Saccharomyces cerevisiae S288C: one gene and its partners. Changing the gene in region 2 together with the main gene of any one other region gives a genetic interaction. Each region holds a gene or a part of one and is shown on either strand. Other genes may lie near its edges.

Region 1 (3,971 bases), on a different chromosome or scaffold from region 2:
AGCTATTCTAACAACAAAACCACGAATCACACCAAAAAGAAGTATGTAAAGGCATGGAAAAAGAAGTAAGCATTGGAATATATGAAATCCTGCTTGTTGATATTCCATTTCTGTGCGAAAAAAGAGCAATAAGCTGGCTTTTAATAATGGGTTGGAGCCATGGATAAGTACGGACATATAGCTCATCAAGAAGGCGATGTTTGTTATTATATTCCAAGGCTGTTCAAATACAACAGTTATTATAGTGGGACAGAGGACGTTCGAATATTTGTTGGAGATTTAAAGTACCGGATGAGAGTTTCTTTGCAAATTTGCGAAAAGTATTATGATAGGCGGTTGTCGATGTTGTTCTGGAAAAATCATCCTTTACAGCAAATACACCTTATTGGCTGCATCATTGGACTCCAGTTCAAATGGATTGGGAAACAAGAATACATTTTTTTTCAGTTGGACGATTGTACTTCAGACTCTTCATTGGTGGGTTATACTAGTGACATGAGATTCTTAACATGTAAAGTTAAGAAGGATAGCATCCTATCATGGGGGTTGAACATAACCGATTTGATAGGCTTAACTCTTCATGTCTACGGGCAAGCAAGTTTGAACTATCAAGAGCTTCAAGTTGAATATTTAAGATTATGCTACAGTTTAACGGAAGAAATAGATCATTGGAAAATCACAATGAACATGCGTGAGCAACTTGACACGCCTTGGTCCTTAAGCGATTTTGTAATTGGAGAATTGTTCACGCAAGAGCAAGAGTGGACACCTGAGACATCACAGATTGAGGTAGTAAACCCGGATTTTGTAGGTATAGGGTACAAAACCCCAGAAAGTAAAAGAAATGAAACTACTTTCATCGAGCAACTGCAAGAAGAACGCTTGAAGGATGAATTAGAAATTATTAGTCCATACAATAGCACAGATACTTCGAATAGTGTGCATTCCTTGTCATTTCGGTTTGTATCGTCGCTAAAGGATTTTCCTGAAACTCACTTTTTGAATTCAGGTGATCAAATTGACAACGGCAATGACGAACAGTTAAAAAAACTAGAATATCAAAGCGCTAATCTACCTGTGATGATTCCCAATAGGACATCAGCAAAGTCAAACTTGATGTTGATCCTATTAGGACTACAAATGAAAGAGATTTCTAATTCTGACCTTTACAAACTAAAGGAAGTACGCAGCGTAGTAACTAGCTTAGCATCGTTTTTGTTTCAACAACAAAATGTTGGCGTCATGAAATCTTTTGACTCTTTGGAAAAGGAAGCGTTTCGAGACCTGGTTAATCGTCTAGTCAGCCAGGGTTTGATCGGATTAAAAGATAAAACAAGTGAGACATTTGATTTGCTTCCTCTAAAAAATCTTTTTGAATATGCTGAAAAACGTATATCAGTTCTAATGAAGCTACAATGTTATACAGGCACTGTGCAATTAAGTCATGTTCAGGAAAAGCTACATTTGCCGTACATAACAACGAACGGCATCGTTGATGTTTTCAAAGAATGTCTTAAAAGGACAAAGAAACAGTATCCTGAGGTACTAAAAAATTGGTGGATTGATCTTGATCCGAAGAATGGTATGGAGGACCAAAACAGTGGAATATTATTACATTTGGAATACGCAGCAGCATATTCATAATTTGTTAGAAAACTCGCATCGTCAATAACGGCGCATCTCTCTAGGCCTGAAAAATTTTGCGATGAGCTCAAAATAAGATACTATAACTTTATGCATATATTGTATATATATTATATCAAACAAATAAGGACGTTAACGAAATTTTATATGGCCTTATTTAACGTAGAAGGTTGGTCTATTAAGACAAAAACCGTCGCTTTTGATAACAAGACTAATAAGTCTTCAAAAGATAAAAAAAAAAATAATAGAAAAAATGGCAAACTTACAAGAGAACAGAAGTTGAAAGAAGAGACAGAGGCTGAGTTGAAGGAACAAGTGGAAGACATTCCTTCCGAAGGATCAGTAGCCAAAGACATCCCAAAAAAAAACCAAGAGAAAAGTGATCAAAATGAAACGAGCAAGAAACGCAAGCACGATGAAGAAGCCCCTCTGATGCAAGTAAAAGAAAATATTGAAAAACCTACAAAGAAGCAACTAACCCCTTTACAACAAAAGATGATGGCTAAACTGACTGGTTCTAGATTTAGATGGATCAATGAACAACTGTATACAATTAGCTCTGATGAAGCTTTGAAATTAATAAAAGAACAACCACAATTATTTGACGAATATCATGATGGTTTTAGATCACAAGTGCAAGCATGGCCGGAAAATCCAGTTGATGTTTTTGTTGACCAAATTCGTTATAGATGCATGAAACCTGTGAATGCTCCAGGTGGGTTACCAGGTCTTAAGGATAGTAAAGAAATAGTTATTGCTGATATGGGGTGTGGTGAAGCTCAATTAGCATTAGAAATCAACAATTTTTTCAAAAATTACAATAAGAAAGCGAAGAAATATTTGAAAAGACGCCATAAAGTCCACAGTTTTGATTTGAAGAAAGCTAACGAAAGAATAACTGTGGCAGATATTAGAAATGTGCCGCTACCAGATGAGTCCTGTACTATAGTGGTCTTCTGCCTGGCTCTAATGGGTACAAATTTCCTCGATTTCATAAAAGAAGCTTATAGGATTTTAGCGCCAAGGGGTGAATTATGGATCGCAGAAATTAAATCAAGGTTTAGTGACGGCAAAGGTAATGAATTTGTAGACGCTTTGAAGCTGATGGGATTTTTTCACAAAAAGACCTTCGACGAGAATAAGATGTTTACAAGATTCGAATTTTTCAAGCCACCTGCGGAGATTATTGAAGAGAGAAGGCAGAAATTGGAAAGAAGACAAAAGTTTATTGAAGTTGAAACTGAGAAGGAAGAATTAGAAAAGAAAAGACGGAAAATTGCCGAAGGAAAATGGCTCTTGAAGCCCTGTATTTATAAAAGAAGATAACGACTTCATCCGTCATTTTCATATTTTAATATTGTTTTTTCTTTTGTATACTATATTTATACATATAATTGTATTCTTTTCCTGTAGTACATTGCGTAAAGTAAAAATCATCTAGAAGAAGTACTCCACAATGTTCACATGAGGGACAAGGTTTTATTGTCTCTGGAAAAACGATTGGATATTAGCCAGCCTTGAAAGATTTTCAAAGCCCGGAACAGAAGGAAGAGCGAACCAATTATTAGTATCTTGACCGTCAGATTGTCCACTATTGGGCTCCCATCTATCGCAACAACGAAATCCATACGTGTTCCAGGCGGTCAGACACATTGCAACAATGACCAAAATCAGGTAGAATATTTTCAGTCTTAAAAGACACAACACAGCGAAGACACCCCAGATTACGGGTGTCACATACATCGACCACCAGAATAACTTAGAATCGATGGCATTTATTGGTGGGCCCGGCGCATATTGCTTATATGATTCGAAAGTAAAATTAGAATCTTTGTTCACATCTGTAGAATCATACCACCAGCGTAATTGGACCAGTTTCCGACCTGTAATGTTTTTTGTTAAGTAAAAGTCAAAAGAAAGTAAAAGAACGACAGTGATGAATTGAGGTGTGAAATTCAAAAACATTGATCCTATGATATAAAATACAATGGGAACTGCCTTACCTGCCAGATGAAATGATAGTAGCAACGGGTGCGACGATTTTAAAATTGTGTTGTAGAAATTTCTTGCCTGGTCCATGTTTCATTCGTAATTAGAGCACCAGCAGGTTTATAAAAGCGTATTGAACCGTAAATCCTTTAAGAACCACGCTTTTCTACATTTACATTATGTACAGTTAAAATGGAAACGAAATCCCTTTTCACCCAAAGGCGCATTGCGGACAAATAATAGGTTCGAGGTCAAGGTAAACAGGAAGCAAGATGCAAAAGAAGTAACTGGAATGGAATGTATACATTGATATATAAATATGTATGACGCCTTCTATT
Region 2 (2,781 bases):
GAACGTCAATAATTCTTGAACTTGGGATACTTGAAATATTAAATAACAAACATTCAAAAGAATTTCCACAGACTGAATGTTTAAGTTCCCCAAACCTATACTACCTGAGGCAGGGAAAGTCAAATGCAAATGCTCTTGTGATTTTGACGCATCATCGTCTAATAAAAGATCTAGATATGTTCGGATTTTCGTTAACGACGGCATTTGCGAGTTTGACGTACATTTTATGATCAATTTCCACACCTCTTTTGTATTCGGTATGTTATACAGTTGAGAAATGGAGGTTGTCGGATTGTCCGTATCATAATTTAGAGACTTTAAATTTACTATGCTTGTATTCTCTTCGAAACGGTGGGTCAGAGATATATTGTTTTTTTTAATTATTTGATAATTATGCCAATCAGTGGTGTTACCGCAAATCAACCCTGTTTCCTCCAATCGTGTAGCTGAAGTCAGCTTATTCAACTCTAACTTCTCGCACAAAACCATATTCTTATCAACGTTATTGAAACACACTATTTCACTAGGTGACGAACATAAATTCAAGGGAGTATTATTCTTGAAAAATTCGTTGTCTAATAAAGGTGTACCAATCAAAGTTTGAGGTATATCTGTATTGAAATTCTGATAAGTGCAAATAAAAAGATTCGTCTTGTAAAGCGATCCTCCACTCCCTACATAACCCTTTTGAACAAACATTAAACAGATCTGTAAAAGTAGTGCAAGGGTTGTACAATTGGGGCAATTTCCCTCGTGTGAGCACGCTGGCGCTGATTCTGTTTGCATATCAGTGCTGCCACCAGTCCGCGAACAATAAATTACTATATTATCAACCATTTCTATCATCTTGGCACATTGCAGGTCGAACCTTCGGAATAGACCTCTCCTTCCCCAGACGTCCTGCCCACTCCGTTTTAGCGTGGTATTAGACCCAACCTTGTTTCTAGAATACCTTTTAAGTTCTAATGATAGTCCACGAGGATCTACTTTCAGAAATGGTAAAATGCTATGATTGTGACAATAAGTAGCAGCGTTTTCCAAAGCAACATCATCCACTTGCAATTCCAATTGTCGTATCTGAAACTTTAGCAAGTTCAAAAGTTCCTTTGTGTTATTGGGATATTGAAAACCATTAGAATCATTTCCAGTTTCACAGGTATCGCCCTCTCTATGAAAGGAAGTGCGAACTTTCCAGGACTGGAAGATATCATTCACTTCGAGAGAATTACGCAAAAGCGCAGAATTGTTAGCATCTGATTGCGATTTGACTATTGCAAGAGAATGAGGAAAATCGGGTGGTTGACCAAAGGAAATATCATGAGCCCAGGGGAACATTTTTTTACATTCAGGCCATTCTGCATCCTGATGTAGTCGCATAAGATCATGCAGTTCACCAGGTGTGATTGAGGGCACTTCCAAAACCATGGTTGTTGCTCTAGTTTTCTATACCCGCCCCTTCTACCTCAATGACAATCTCTCTTTTATGGTTGGTGTTTCTTTTCACTTTTTTACTTCTTCTTGTACTTTTCTTTTTGAACCTTAAAAACTCTTGCAATTATGTTTCCATGATGCTTTTGAAGTAATAATTTATTTTTATTACGCGAAATTAATGGCCTTAACAACTGCCTGCCCCAACAGATAAAAACAAGCAAGGGTCAACCGTGTTGCAAAAAAAATGTCCAACTTAGTTAAAGAAAAAGCACCTGTCTTTCCTATATCTAAAGTAAAGAAGATTGCCAAATGCGACCCCGAATACGTAATTACATCTAATGTAGCTATATCAGCGACCGCATTCGCTGCTGAGTTATTTGTACAGAATCTCGTCGAAGAATCGCTGGTCTTAGCACAACTGAATTCGAAAGGAAAGACAAGCCTACGATTAAGCCTAAATTCTATAGAAGAATGTGTCGAAAAAAGAGATAATTTCAGGTTTCTAGAGGATGCCATTAAACAACTGAAGAAGAATAGCGCACTCGACAAGAAGAGAGAACTAAACATGCAACCGGGTCGGAGCGATCAAGAGGTTGTTATAGAAGAGCCTGAATTGCATGAGGATGATGGTGTAGAGGAAGAAGAAGAAGAAGACGAGGTATCCGAAGAAGAAGAGCCCGTACACAATGAAGAACTTCTTGATGATAGTAAAGATCAACAAAATGATAAATCCACGCGCAGTGTGGCAAGCTTGCTGTCGAGATTCCAGTATAAATCCGCACTAGACGTAGGAGAACACTCCGACTCTTCTGATATCGAAGTTGACCATACGAAAAGCACCGATCCTTAGTGTTGTTGCTATTATTGCTATGTAATTACTATTCGATGCAATATGTTATACATATACATACACGCAATGAGAACCCTAACCTTGAACTTACTATTTTAAAAGGACATCTCGAAAAAGCTTAGGGATAATTAATATTTTGTAGGTTAGAGCTGTTATGTAGGGAAGAAAAACAAGGGCTTTAAAATAATAATCACATTACACGAATAACTTAATTTGTCTTTCTGAAATGGAAAAAGAAAAAAATGACGACTGTAACATTGGATGAATTAATACTGTCATTATTGATACGTTGTTAATTATAGACAGAAATGTATTCAGTACAATAGAACAGTGCTCATAATAGTATAAAGGGTCACAATGTCCAAAAAACAGGAATATATTGCACCAATAAAATACCAAAACAGCTTGCCTGTGCCACAATTACCTCCTAAACTTCTGGTTTACCCCGAGTCTCCGGAGACGAATGCAGACTCCTCCCAACTAATCAATTCACTATACAT
Region 3 (4,771 bases), on a different chromosome or scaffold from region 2:
GTTGAATAAGTAATTCTCGCAAATAATCTTAAACCAAGGCGTAAACTTGTAACTTGGGTCAGCAAACATAGTTTTCAAATCATTTGGTGAAACCCATTTGAAGTCTCTAACTTCATTGACGTTTGGGTTGACAGTCAAGTTTTCTTTAGCGTTGATCTTATAAAATAGGATGTAATCAATTTCATGTTCACCCCATGGTTCATTGCTTGGTGCCATGTAATGGATTCTGTTTAAAAAGTGAAACTTACCCCTTGTCTTAGTTTCATCTTCTGGAATACCTAATTCATGATCTAGTTTTCTCACCGCCGCAGTAATAGCGCCCTTAATCTTATCGTCTAGCTTACCCTTCAAACCTAATTCGTCATCAATACATAGTGGATGAGAGCAGCATGTGTTAGTCCAAAGATCAGGGAAAGTTATTTTTTCAGTGGCTCTTTGTTGTAAAAGTAATTCACCTTGTTCATTGAAAATAAAGACGGAGAATGCACGATGTAGTAAACCCTTTTCAATATTTTCCATTAAATGACAAACTTTCTTGGTACCGGCACCAATAGCATTATCGTCCCAATCCAAAACAATACAATTTTCATTCATTAACTTAATTTGCTCCTCATCATGACCAGAAAAACATGTTTCTCCGCTTTCGTCATTTGACGTCTCACTAGATCGGGTATTAGGTCTTTGTTGTAATGGAATAATTTCAGGAAACTCTTCCAAAATGTCTTCAGGTGTTTGGTTTTGCACTAATTTGGCGTAACTAGATACTGCACCATGGGGCATACTATTGTTGTCGGCAGTCATTGAGGTGTAATGAATTTTTGGCTTATTTTTACTCTTCCTGTATTCCAAATACGAATACTCTAATATTGAATTAAGTGGGATATACGCCTTCTTGTCACTAGAAAACTGTTTCCTGTTAAATAGATAAAAATGAATAAATAAATATAAATGGAGTTAAGACCGAAAAAGAAAGGCAACCCCCATCGACAAGAAAAGAGTTATGAATAATCATGTTTCTTAATAACAATTAAAGGGAAAAGAATCGGCTGGGCATCGTCATTGCGAAACTGTTGACTGGAAAAATTTCAATCACAATTAAGTTTTGTCCATTTCGTTCCAGCAAGAACGGAAACTTTTACCGATAGCAGCGGAAAAAAAGAAAAAAGAAAAAAAAAAGAAATTAATATAGGCAAAATAGCCGCATGAAGCCCTTAATAACCTATACTATTCTGTGACTGTTATTTATTTACCCTCGTAATATTAAAAATGTCCTATACAATTTCTGTAATAAAACCTAATTTTTTTAGGACCCTTGAGTGTTACCCTGCTCATGTTTTTATTTTTGTTTTAGAGAAATGTAAACAACAGTTTGGGAAAGTTTCAAGAATTGTAAACAACTAATCAAGGGATAATACTATTTTACTCTTTCCTTTAAACATGAAGAACTATTTTTTGTTTACGTTTTTTTCTGAATTGAACAATAAGATCTTGTTAATTTTTTTATCGCTTGATCTATTATCAGATCTTCTCTTTTGAAAAACTAGTCCTTTTCCAAATTACAAACTTTCTTTTCGTGTGGAGTTGATCAGTTCAGTTTCTCCAATACTTCTTAAGTCACTGAAAATATAACGAAAAAAAGGGCTCTGGAAGTAAACAGAGAAATTCGACGATATAATATGTCTTCCAAGCATTCAGATCCATTGGAGAGATTTTATAAGCAATTTCAAGCATTTGTTCAAAATAACCCTAATGTCATATCGGCAGCTCGAGCTGCCGCACAAATACCGGAATCTGCAAAAGCTGTTGTAGTACTATCCCCATATTCTTTACAGCATGTGTTCCCGAGAGAATGGGTAACAAAATCGTATAGGAAAACTATAGTCGAACGACCAGAAAGATTATTAGCAAGCTCGATGGGTATATCAGCTGCGATTACAATGTATCCATCCCTTTTCACCTTGAAATCCTCGCATCAAAGGAAAGGTTCATTGATGGCACCTCATGTGCTTAAAGTTCATGGCAGTAGCTGGCCGGCTGAGTTAATTGAACTTTGCCAAATGGCAGATGCTAAATTGCTAAAAGGCGAAATCGAAGTCCCAGATACTTGGAACTCAGGTGATATATACTTGAGCTCAAAGACAATTAAAGCTCTACAGGGAACAATTGGGGCCATTGAAACTGGTGTTGACTCAATTTTCAAAGGACCATCTGCAGAACATATTAGTAACAGAGCTTTTGTTGCTATACGGCCTCCTGGTCATCATTGCCACTATGGTACACCATCCGGCTTTTGTCTGTTAAACAATGCACATGTAGCCATAGAATATGCGTATGATACTTACAACGTCACGCATGTTGTCGTGCTTGATTTCGATCTACACCACGGTGATGGGACCCAAGACATTTGCTGGAAACGTGCGGGTTTCAAACCTGAGGAGGAACCTGAAGATTCATCTTATGATGATTTTGGTAAGAAATTTGCCGAATTTCCCAAAGTCGGTTATTTTTCTATGCATGATATAAATTCATTTCCAACAGAGTCGGGATTTGCCACAAAGGAGAACATTAAAAATGCATCTACCTGTATCATGAACTCTCATGACCTAAACATCTGGAATATTCACTTATCCAAATGGACAACCGAAGAAGAATTCAATGTATTATACAGGACAAAATATAGAACTTTATTTGCTAAAGCAGATGAATTTTTCAGGAGCGCAAAACTAGAAATGAATCAACAAGGGAGACCATTCAAAGGTTTGGTTGTCATAAGCGCAGGTTTCGATGCATCAGAATTTGAGCAAACTTCAATGCAAAGGCATAGTGTCAACGTTCCTACAAGTTTTTATACAACGTTCACCAAAGATGCATTGAAATTAGCACAAATGCACTGTCATGGCAAAGTTTTGTCTCTAATGGAGGGTGGATATTCTGATAAAGCTATATGTTCTGGTGTTTTCGCACATTTGATCGGTTTACAAAACCAAGATTGGGTTAAAGAATGGGGGTCTGAACAAGTCGTTAAAGAGATTGTTCGTGGTTGCAAACCGGCTTGGAAACCCTATAAGACAAAAAGAGCAAAAGATGTCATAAGAATATGGGCAGAAGAAGTTATCAGGCTGGGACGAGCAATGATACCGGAATTCGATGATATCATTTTTAAAGACGCAGTTAACAGCGCACCTTCTAATTCTCTACTAAAGGCTACTGTCGAACCAGCATCCACGTCGACAATTGCTCAAAGAATAATCAGATCTCATAGAAGCAACGCTTCCCCAGAAAAAGAACTTCATGAAAACAAGCCGAGAAGCACGGAAAAACAGGAACAAAGGGAAATTAGAAGCGATACCAAGGTCAAGCAGCTCTCGTCAAATAATAGAGCAGCTGAAACCCAAATTCCGTTTTTGCAACAAGAATTTTCCAGTGAGGATGAAGATGAAGAATACGTTTACGATGAAGAATTGAACAAAACTTTCAATCGCACGGTGGAGGATATTACCATTGATGATATTTCTAGACATTTGGAGACCTTAGAAATTGAAAAAAAAGGTGATGAAGATTCAGACCATGAGCTAAAAGAAAAAAATTGGAAAAACTCGCACCAACGCCGTCTACAAGGTAATGGAATGTATAAAATTCCCTCCAATACGAAACCGCATCGCATAAGACAGCCTCAAAACGCAAATACACCAACTTATGACGATAGTGATATATCAATGATTTCTCATGTTTCAAGAAAACATACAACAAGAAGTGGTGGAAGATGGTGATACCAATGCATATATAATGTTGTCTTGAACCCACTAAAGAAGTGACGCATATATTACTTTTTTGTATTTAGTAACACAATTTTTCTATTTTTATATTTCCTTGTATAGTTAGTAATTTTAATTTTTTTCCTTCTTTATCTCAGCTCTTCGACCATTTGGTCAAGAAGTTAGTTTTTTTCTCTTATTTTATTTGACAATATACTAATTTTATTATATGGTATTGTAAATAACATTTGAGGAATAAAAAGACAGTCACTCTATAAGCTTTATCAGCCTGACATTTTTTTATTATTACAAATATATCGTTGAAAGAAAGAAGCCTCTATACATCTCGCCCTCTTTCTATCATTAAATCAATGGAGGTTTACTGGCAACGTTATATTTCTACAATTTTAGACCATCAAACCTGAGGAATATGTATATCTACTTTCTCCCTTTCCTCTTCTTTAACTGGTTCACCACCCTGAAATATACACGCAAAGTCAGTGATGAATGGTTGAAGCATACTAATTGGAATATTTAGAGTTGGGGAAAACACGATGCATAAATTTCTTAGATTCATCTTATTAAACTTACTATTCTCATTGATCCTTACCAGCAGTTCAAAAAGAGCATACATCAACGATAGGTTAGCGTGAGGAACTAGGCCAGATTCAATAAGTTCCTTAAACCCCAATGATATTTGAACAGGATTATTATGATTTTCATCAACTACTCTTTTAAACGACAAAAATTGTTCGTCACCAAATAATAAATGGGGCAACTTTCTCAAGTACAACTTTAGTAACCCACTTACAGTATTCACACCAATGTAAAGACTTGGAGATGCCTCATCATCTTTAGCTTCAATACTTTCATTGTACCGACATAAATCTACATCGTACTCTTTATCAAACCTTTCTTGTAAAGTTTTGATAACTGTACTGGACCCGCTTAGTCTAAATATGCCTTCTTCCTGGATACCACGGTTTTTGTAAAGATACTCTAAGCAACGATAAACT

Evidence for each region. A genetic interaction does not mean that the proteins touch.
Region 1: mutations in DPB3 (region 2) and RRP8 together harm fitness more than expected from each alone (negative genetic interaction), as found in Saccharomyces cerevisiae (2 studies listed by BioGRID).
Region 3: mutations in DPB3 (region 2) and HOS3 together harm fitness more than expected from each alone (negative genetic interaction), as found in Saccharomyces cerevisiae (2 studies listed by BioGRID).

The regions. Positions count from the first base shown.
Region 1 is NC_001136.10:610,282-614,252, forward strand, and holds RRP8 (25S rRNA (adenine645-N1)-methyltransferase), read left to right. Parts: upstream 1-1,791; coding exon 1,792-2,970; downstream 2,971-3,971. Other genes in the region: STN1 (Stn1p), read left to right, coding at 160-1,644; TVP23 (Tvp23p), read right to left, coding at 3,124-3,723. UniProt on the Saccharomyces cerevisiae protein: S-adenosyl-L-methionine-dependent methyltransferase that specifically methylates the N(1) position of adenine 645 in 25S rRNA. Required both for ribosomal 40S and 60S subunits biogenesis. Required for efficient pre-rRNA cleavage at site A2.
Region 2 is NC_001134.8:758,619-761,399, forward strand, and holds DPB3 (DNA polymerase epsilon noncatalytic subunit), read left to right. Parts: upstream 1-1,675; coding exon 1,676-2,281; downstream 2,282-2,781. Other genes in the region: tyrosine/serine/threonine protein phosphatase PPS1, read right to left, coding at 1-1,425; PAF1 (Paf1p), read left to right, coding at 2,639-2,781. UniProt on the Saccharomyces cerevisiae protein: As accessory component of the DNA polymerase epsilon (DNA polymerase II) participates in chromosomal DNA replication.
Region 3 is NC_001148.4:327,930-332,700, forward strand, and holds HOS3 (histone deacetylase), read left to right. Parts: upstream 1-1,676; coding exon 1,677-3,770; downstream 3,771-4,771. Other genes in the region: isopentenyl-diphosphate delta-isomerase IDI1, read right to left, coding at 1-801; GTPase-activating protein BEM3, read right to left, coding at 4,171-4,771. UniProt on the Saccharomyces cerevisiae protein: Responsible for the deacetylation of lysine residues on the N-terminal part of the core histones (H2A, H2B, H3 and H4).